Cricetulus griseus: one gene and its partner. The protein of the gene in region 1 purifies or fractionates together with the protein of each later gene. This does not show direct contact. Links are inferred from orthologs where the notes say so. Each region holds a gene or a part of one and is shown in the gene's direction. Other genes may lie near its edges. The genes, in order: S100a4 and Ppfibp1.

Region 1 (4,320 bases):
CCACGAGTACTTCAAAGACTGCCCCCCTGAGCCCCCTTGCCCCCAGTAGCCTCTGATCCAGAAGGGTATGCCATTCTGGAAGGTCAGGGTCTGCTCTAGTGCTCCGTCTTTGTCCCTGAGGTGATCCTGAGTGTGTAGCCACACCCTTCCTACCCTCTCTGTGGTATCCTTTCAGTCGGGGCTTGCCAGGTCCCTGATGTGCTAACCCTGGCTACTCATGCACAGTAGAAGCTTTCCTAGGGATGTCAAAGTAGTGAGGGGTGGAACAGTAGCTTCTCTTCTTGGAAGGGAGAACATTTGCTCTCTCACTTTGGAGGCTCAGCCATGTGCACACTGTGGCAGGGGCCTGCTCAACTCCTAATAAAGAAATGTCAGCTTGGCTTGGTTTGGTTCTTCTGATGGGACACACTGGATTTTGGGACTGAGTCCTTGGGAGTCTTTACCCCTCTATGTTCCATATCGCTGGAGGAAGGCAGCTGAAGGCAGGGGCCCTAAAGGCAGTTCCAGACCCCATAGGAATGCATAAGTCTCAGTATTCAGTAGGAAGGTGGGGCCATTACAAGTCCCCATCAGGTGAGGCTGGGGGTCTTTGTCTCCATCTCTCTGTCCCCTGTCTTGAGGTGGAAGCCCTTGTTTTGGGCTTTCTAGGAGGGCAAGAGGCTCCTTGGGAGAAACTCAGTACTTGTGATTAGAGCATCGAGGTATGTGGGTATGGGTGTGGCATAGCTGTGGGAAACCAGAGAGCAGTAGCAATAGGATTGGGGCCTCTGAGGTATTTGCTGCCAGCCAGGGAGGGAGCCTCTGTATTTACTGCAAGGGGAAAGGGATACTTTGAGTCAGTCCTCATCTCTGAAACCACAGCCCCTGAGGGTCCCAAGTTCCCATTTCTGACCATTGCTCAATCCCCGTATTTGTACCCCATCCTTAGAGATTAATCCTGACTCCCCATTTTACCTGTTTCTCCTGTAACTCTCTTCTCCAAGCTGAGTGTTCAAACCTGAATGCTCCCATCAGCCCCAATACCCTCCCTGGACCTTCTACCCATTCATGAACCTCGAGGCCTCATTACTGCCCTAACTCCATCACGCCCTCTTAGGCGTTTCCCACTTAATACCTAGGGTGGTACCAAGGCCCCTCCCGACTTGCCAGTCTTCACTCTGGGTCTTACTGAGCGTGACAGAGAGCTGTTTAGGCTGGAGAGAAGGGCTGACTGTCCCACTGGCCGGGGTCACCTCCCCAATTCCTGGGCCATACATTTCCATATTCCCCTCTTGCCCATCACCTCCCCATCTTCTTTCCTGTGGCCCACATCCCATGCCCATGTTGCCCCTTCTCAAAGCTTCCTTAAAAGTTGGCTGAGCTGTGGCTACTGGGTGGTATCCACACCATTCAGGTCTCTCGTGTCCACTGGGGCTTACTCAATGCTCGCCTGTGCCTGCTGGGTAGTAGGAAGCTTGGTTCTCAGGTTGGGCTGGTGGAGGGGCCTGTGACATTTACTACATCAGCCAACAGTAGGAACATAGTATCCAAGCTCCCCCCATCCCCTGCATGGGCAGGGCCCAGCAGAGTATAAATAGGGCAGACATTTGAGCTTTCCCCAAACCTCTCTGTTCAGCACTTCCTCTCTCTGGGTCTGGTGAGTTGTGTTGGCTTCATAGCAGTATTAGTGGTGTCAGAGGCTGAGGCTGGGACAGGAGAAAGGGAGGCTTCTGGGGAGACAGATGTTTTTACTAGATCCAGATGAGAGATTCTGATGTGGAGGCTGTGTGTGTGTGTGTGTGTGTGTGTGTGTGTGTGTGTGTGTGTGTGTGTGTGTGTCTGTGTGTCTGTGTGTCTGTGTGTCTGTGTGTGTCTGTGTGTGTTGCACAAGAATGAAAACAGCAACAAAAAGGTGTATAGATGCCATTTGAGCTCTCAAGATTTCTAAGATGCTGAGGCTTACACGTGTTGTTGCTACAGTGTACATCTGTGTTTGGGAGCCATGGATAGGTACCCTGATGGGTGTTTGCTGGGTCATTCAAGCCAGTGTGTGCGGGAAAGCAGGTGCAGGAAGCAAAGTGAGGGAACATGTAGGCTTTCTTCTTAACGTTTAAACTTCAGTTATTTATTTGTGTGCATGCATGCGTGGGTTGGGGATGGGGGGCTCATGCCAAGGTGCACTTGTGGAGGTAAGAGGGCAACTTGTGGGAGGGAGTCAGTCTGCTCCTTCTACCATGGGCTCTGGGGATCAAACTCAGGCCATCAAGCTTAGTGGCAGGCACCTCTACTTACAGGCTACCACTCCAGCACTCACCTGTAGACTTCTGTGTTCATATTAGTGCCTTATGGACATCCAGCACCCCAGGTCAAGAGAGCCTGGCTTCCCCACCCTCCCCTTGTGCCCCTACCTCTGCCACCTCATCTCACTCCTCACTAAGCTGGTCAATAGGCAGCTGGGTTTTTTCCGCTGTGGGCCCATGGGCAGGCAGCCAGCAGCCGCGCCCAATGCTGGGAGGGGGAAGAACGGGCCAGAGCCTGGTGCTTGTGGTTGAGCTGAGCAAGGACGGAAAACTGCTGTTGTTGAGGCCAGGCCCGAGGACAGTCAGCCCAAAAGCTGCTGGCACGAATCTCCAGAGATTGTATGGTAGGCTCTGCATGTTTCAGAGCCCAAAGCATACACGACCATCTTGCCATTAGTGGGTCCCACTCCTCTGATCTCTCTGGGAATGAGGACAGTCTCCTGAAGTGTTCCTAGAGGGTAGGTTGGAATGGAGCATTTAAAATGGGGGCAGAATGAGTCTATGACTTGGGTGATGAGCAGTGCCACATAGCCAGTTCTTGATACACTGTTGGTGTGGGTTGGGTAAGGCTACCTTTGTGTCTCCTGCCCCTAGCTCTCAACTGTCACCATGGAATACCCCTTAGAAGAGGCCCTGGATATGATGGTGTCTACCTTCCACAAATACTCAGGCAAAGAGGGTGATAAGTTCAAGCTCAACAAGTCTGAGCTGAAGGAGCTGCTGACCAGGGAGCTGCCTAGCTTTTTGGGGGTGAGTGGGTCCTGCCTGTGTATTTCATGTGTGGTGCATCCCCAGGAGGAGGTTGGGACTCTGGTAGGTAGTGCCTAGCTACAGTTGGCGTATATCTCTAAGGTGGGGAAATGGAGGTTGGAGAGCTTGCTCCGGGTGCTTGGTGTGGAACCACAGTGAACCATCTATCCCTCATTAGCCCTCAGCTGAGAGAAGGCTTAGAATGAACACAACCGAAGAGACAGAGAAAAAGCAAAACAACTGCCTAACATAGTCAGTGTCTGAACTGCAGGCTAGATCAGGACTGTTGGCAAGAGAAATTGAGTTTCTGTTTGTGAAGACACGATGGTGGAGGCACACAAACACCTGCAGAGTCTCTCCTCAATAACACCTTGCATTAGTTAATTTAATGCATCACTGCCATGGCTGCTACCTAATGAGATAATTAAAGCAAACAAGGAGAAGATGTGGTCCTCCCCGTTCCCAGCTACCTCAAGTGCCCGCATCTAGGGCACATCCTCCTCTACATAGCTTAGTCCCAAGGCTTCCTGAGTGCCCAGAGGCACTCAGGTGTTCCTGAACACCTGGCTGGAGGCAGAGATCTAGCTTGGGTCTGGCTTCTAACTGTTCTTCTTCTACTCCCAGAAAAAGAGAGATGAAGCAGGATTCCAGAAGCTGATGAGCAACCTGGACAGCAACAGGGATAACGAAGTAGACTTCCAGGAGTACTGCGTCTTCCTGTCCTGCATTGCCATGATGTGCAATGAATTCTTTGAAGGCTGCCCAGATAAACAGCCCCGGAAGAAGTGAAGACTCTGCAGATGAAGTGTGGGGGCGTGGTCTTCGGGAGGAGGGGGCTCTTCCCTTTTGGCTCTGAGCATAGTGCCTTACTCTGGCTTCTTCATACATATGCACAATGCTGAGCGAGTTCAATAAAGAGTCTTGAAACTATGTGCTGTTGCCTAAGAGACTGGAGATTGTGGGTTGGGTGTTGAGGGAGGGTATATCACAGGGTAGTGGTGGGGACTGCGGGGAGTTGAGCTGGGAGTTGAGCCTTGAGGGAACAAAACTAGAAAGGGTTGGGTAGGGGTTGAGTGGCTGATTTAACTAGCATGCAAGTGTGTGTGTGTGTGTGTGTGTGTGTGTGCGCGCACATACGTGCAACAAAGAAAACTTTGGGAATACTTAAGGCAGAAGCCACCAGAGGCTTGGCTTGAAAGGCTCCAGATGTGGGAAGTTAGCCAGTCCACCACCCTCCTTTCTCTCTCCAGATCTGCCTCTGGGCTCAAACTGAAGTTGGGATGGGATTGAA
Region 2 (4,352 bases), on another chromosome or scaffold:
TTAATTGTACTTCTAGATGACGATGGCTATAGTTTGACACCTATAGACATATTCTGTATAAAAGCCACTGTTCATCATTCCATTCGGTCCTGGGTCGGGAGGGGGGCAGGCGGGGGGGGGGGGGGATAAGGGAAGAGACATGGGACAGGGCCTGAAAGAAGGGTTCCTGAGAACCTTCCTGACTTCGCAGCCAGGAGGATTATTATACCGCTGCTATCCACCGGAGAGTAAATAGTAGTTAATTCTTAATTGTTAGCTCAGTCACTGCAGTTGGCTCAACAGTAATTATCATGTGGTTTGAACTCAGTTGTGAGGGCTGTCCCCTTTCAGCTGTGCACCAACAGCAACCTTATGGTACTTGAAAGTTTAGGGCAGGGGCTGCAGAGATGGCCCAACAGTTAAGCCCTTCTGATCTCTCTCTCTCTCTCTCCTTTTTTTTTTTTTTTCAGAAACAGTTCAGTTCCCAGCTCTTACTTCATAGCTGCCAGTCCATTAACTCCAACGCCAGTAACTGCCAGTGGAAGCCAGTGCTTCCATCCTCCGTGGGCACACACACGTACATACATATAATTAAAAAAAAAAATAGCCTGGTGGTGTGGTGGCCCCTGTCTTTAATCCCAGCCCAGCACTCAGGAAGGTAGAGGCAGACGGATCTCTGTCCTTGGTCTACAGAGGGAGTTTCAGGACAGAAACACAAGAGAAACTCTTCTTGAGGAAAACAACAAAAAGCAAAAACAAACAGCAAAAATAAATCTTTTAAAAAACGGGTTAGTGCTGGGGTTGGTAGTGTGTGCCTGCAAGCGCGGCTCCCAGGAAGGCCCGCGCGGGAGGCTGACGAGTTCAAGATCAGCCTAGGGATGTGGAGACCCCATCCTCCAAACAAAAAGCAAACAGTGGCATTTCCGCCCCCTCTGCAGAGTCCGTCTTACTTGCGAGGGCTCTCGTGGTGTGTGAGGTTTTATTACTTTACTTATATATTTGTTATTTTGCAAAAGCAGCCACGTGGTTGGGCGCCGCCAGGTGACCATGCAGAGGTGAGGGAGGCGGCGTCCGGGACCCTGTCCTGTCCTCCAGGTTCTGCAAACCCTCCGTTTCCCCTCCCGGGGCGGCGCTGCAGGGCGGGAGGCCAGCAAGGCCTCGGCTGTATCCGCGGGGCTCCCGTCCGCCCCGTCCGCGGCGGCTTTGCCGCAAAAGGGAGGGGGCCCTCGGGGTGAGCGTCGCTTCCCATCCGGGGGCAGCGGCGGCCCAGGCTCCCCGCCGCTCTTGATCGGCGCCCGGGGTACCGCAGTCCGGGCACCCGCGATCCTCACCGACGCCCACTCACGGCGCGGCTCCGCCAGGAATGTGGGAGCCCCGGCGGCGACGCCTGGGAGTGAGTGACGGCGCGCCGGGCCAATCAGCGCGCCGCAGGCGCGAGGCCCCGCCCCTTGCGCCCCCCGGGGCTGGTTCCCGCCGGGGCGGGACTGGCTCCAGCCGGGGGCGGGGCTACGGGGCGGGGCGGGGCGGAGCGACGGGCGGGCGAGCGAGCGGGCGAGCAGGCAGGCGGGCGGGCCTCGGAGGACCGGCGGAGGCGGCACCTGGGCGGCGGTGATGTCAGCCGGGCGCTGTGCTCTGGCCCGGGCTCCTGTCGCCGCCTAGGGCGCGGGGCGACCGCCGCGGGAGCAGCGATCTGGCAGCCGCGCCGGCGCCGGGAGGCGGGACGGCAACTTGTGGAGCTCGGCGGCCCTGCGCCTCAGGTAAGCCCGCGGGCGGCTCCCTCTGCGACCCGCGCTCGCCGCCCGGGGGACCCCCGCTCCCCGGGGTGACAGGGAGGGCTCGCCTGGGTCTGCGGCCCACGCACCCCGACTGCACACAACTCCAGTCAGGGCAGTGTGCTCCCAGCTCACACCCGGACTCCCCTCCACGCCACAGGCTCCAGTCAGGGCAGTGTGCTCCCAGCTCACACCCGGACTCCCCTCCACGCCACAGGCTCCAGTCAGGGCAGTGTGCTCCCAGCTCACACCCGGACTCCCCCCTCCACTCCACAGACTCCAGTCAGGGCAGTGTGCTCCCAGCTCACACCCGGGCTCCCCCTCCACTCCACAGACTCCAGTCAGGGCAGTGTGCTGGGACTCGAACACCCCAGACTATTAAATACCACAGAACTCCAGTCAGAGAAGTGTGCATAGTCTTACATCATGGGCTCCCTACCACACCACAGACTCACTCAGCCTGGGAAGTATGCGCCCCATCTCACAACTCAGATTCCCCTCCCCACCACACCACAGACTCTTGATTCCACAGAACTCCAATCAGGGAAGTGCGTGTGGGTCCTCACACCCCAGGATCTCCCCACACCAGACTCCAGTCAGGGAACTGGAGTGGGACCCTGAACCCTGGACTCCCTCTAATATTCCACAGATTCCAGTCAGAGAACTGCAGCGGAACCCGGGATTCCCTATATAATACCACAGAACTCCAGCCCCTGGGTCTCAGTTTCTCTGCCTTTGAGAGAGTGCCATCAGAGATGTGTGCTTGAGCACAGTCTCCTACTCTGTGACAGAACCATCAGGGAAGTGCATGTGTGGGTGGGGATAGGAGTGAAGAATATTTAAAAACACTACAGATATTTTTGTGAATCACCATCCCCAGAAAATAAATAGAAAATAGTTATATTTTCCCAGTTCCCTTACCCACTACAGCATGTCGTTTAAGTGAAAGAATTGAGAGCAATGCAAAGGGAAGTCAAAAAATCTGTTAACTAGAGAAAGCAATTGTCTTTGCTTTCCTGTTGGTAGGGTTCTGATTCTTATTTCTTGTTTCAAACCCCTTTTCTTGCTTGGAGATTTTCTGTGCACGGGTCACTGAGTGTGATTGACTTTCTGGGGGGTGGGATTAGTTCTGAAGACACTGATTCTAACCCTGGCTCTATCAGCGGTTCAGGGCTCTTTTAGAGCAAGAATAAGAAAGCGCATAGCTGAGACTTCTGAGTGGAGCCAGTTTCCCCTTTGGGGCAGCAAGCAGTTCCTCAGCAGTGAGGAGTCTCTGGTAGCCAGGTCTGGAGGAAGTAGGAGTGGACTTCATTGTTAGTCAAAAGCTGCATCCCAGACTCTGACCTAAAGGGCATTTCCAGGGGCTGGGGAAATAAAGTCATAACATTACATTTCGTTTAGAAAACCCAAGTTGGGAAGTGTGTGTGGGGAGAGAGGGTTTTAAAGATGGAATTTAAAAGATGTCTCTATAGCCAAACCGCCAAACCTGGACAGGACATTTGTGTTTCCTTTGCTGTGTTTTCCAAACAGCCTGGTTTGTATCCGTATTGCTGTCGGTTCTTCAGATGATGAGACAGCACAGGGTGTGAGAAGAGCAGCCTTTTGGCCAGGATCTCACCACTGCCCTCTGTCTTCTTTGAGACAGGCTCTCACCATGTAGCCCAGGCTGGCCTTGAACTTTTGATCTTCCTTTTTTTTTTTTTTTTAAGTTGTACTTTTTATGTGCATTGGTGTTGACACACATGTCTTTGTAAAGGAGTCAATCCCCTGGAACTTGAGTTACAGACAGGTGTGAGCTGCCTTGTGGGTGCTAGGAATTGAACTCAGGACCCCTGGAAGAGCTGCCAGTGTTCTTAACCGCTGAGCCATCTCCAAGCCTGAACTTTTGATCCTCTTGCCCCCATTGTCTTTACGTGTGTGTGTGTGTGTGTGTGTGTGTGTGTGTGTGTGTTGTGTGTGTGTGTGTGTGTGTGTGTGTGTGTGGTGTGTGTGTGTGTGTGTGTGTGTGTGGTGTGTGTGTGTGTGTGTGTGTGTGGTGTGTGTGGTGTGTGTGTGGTGTGTGTGTGTGTGGTGTGTGTGTGTGTGTGTGTGTGGTGTGGTGTGTGTGTGTGTGTGTGTGTGTGTGTGTGTGTGTGCGTGCGTTGCGTGCGTGCGTGCGTGCGTGCGTGCGCGTGCGTGCGTGCGTGCGTGCGTGTGTGTGTGTGTGTGTGTGTGTGTGTGTGTGTGGTGTGCGTGTGCGCACGCACGCTGTCATACCCAGCGAGAACAGGGCTTTTGGAAAGGGAGTAAGTAGTATATGCTTTACAGGAATAGAACCTTTTAATTTTGGTTTGTGTTTTTGAATTAAGCATAGGAATAGCTAATGGCTGAGCAATCATATTAGGCAAAATTTTGGTACTTATGTTCAGTGAATGTATATAAAACATACTGCATTTTCTAGTGGACTTTTATTAGAAAAGAAAAAAGTGGAGTTCCTTGTGGACACTAAGGTGAGCACTGTGTAGCCTTGGTTGATAACGGCATCCTGCAGCTGAAAGACGGAACCTCCAAAACCATGCAAATTAAGCAGTAAGTATCTTTAGCATGTATGTGTGTGTGTGT

What was found.
Region 2: the proteins of S100a4 (region 1) and Ppfibp1 purify together in Homo sapiens (co-immunoprecipitation; 3 studies listed by BioGRID and IntAct, with this or other methods). This does not show direct contact. The link is inferred for Cricetulus griseus from reciprocal best matches to the Homo sapiens genes S100A4 and PPFIBP1.

Annotation. Positions count from the first base shown.
Region 1 is NW_023276806.1:63,942,397-63,946,716, reverse strand, and holds S100a4 (protein S100-A4), read left to right. Parts: upstream 1-1,479; 5' UTR 1,480-1,636; intron 1,637-2,676; exon of another isoform or gene 2,677-2,737; intron 2,738-2,873; 5' UTR 2,874-2,888; coding exon 2,889-3,029; intron 3,030-3,653; coding exon 3,654-3,818; downstream 3,819-4,320. Other genes in the region: S100a3 (protein S100-A3), read left to right, coding at 1-49. UniProt on the Homo sapiens protein: Calcium-binding protein that plays a role in various cellular processes including motility, angiogenesis, cell differentiation, apoptosis, and autophagy.
Region 2 is NC_048601.1:2,822,940-2,827,291, reverse strand, and holds the start of Ppfibp1 (liprin-beta-1), read left to right. Parts: upstream 1-1,541; 5' UTR 1,542-1,736; intron 1,737-4,352. UniProt on the Homo sapiens protein: May regulate the disassembly of focal adhesions. Did not bind receptor-like tyrosine phosphatases type 2A.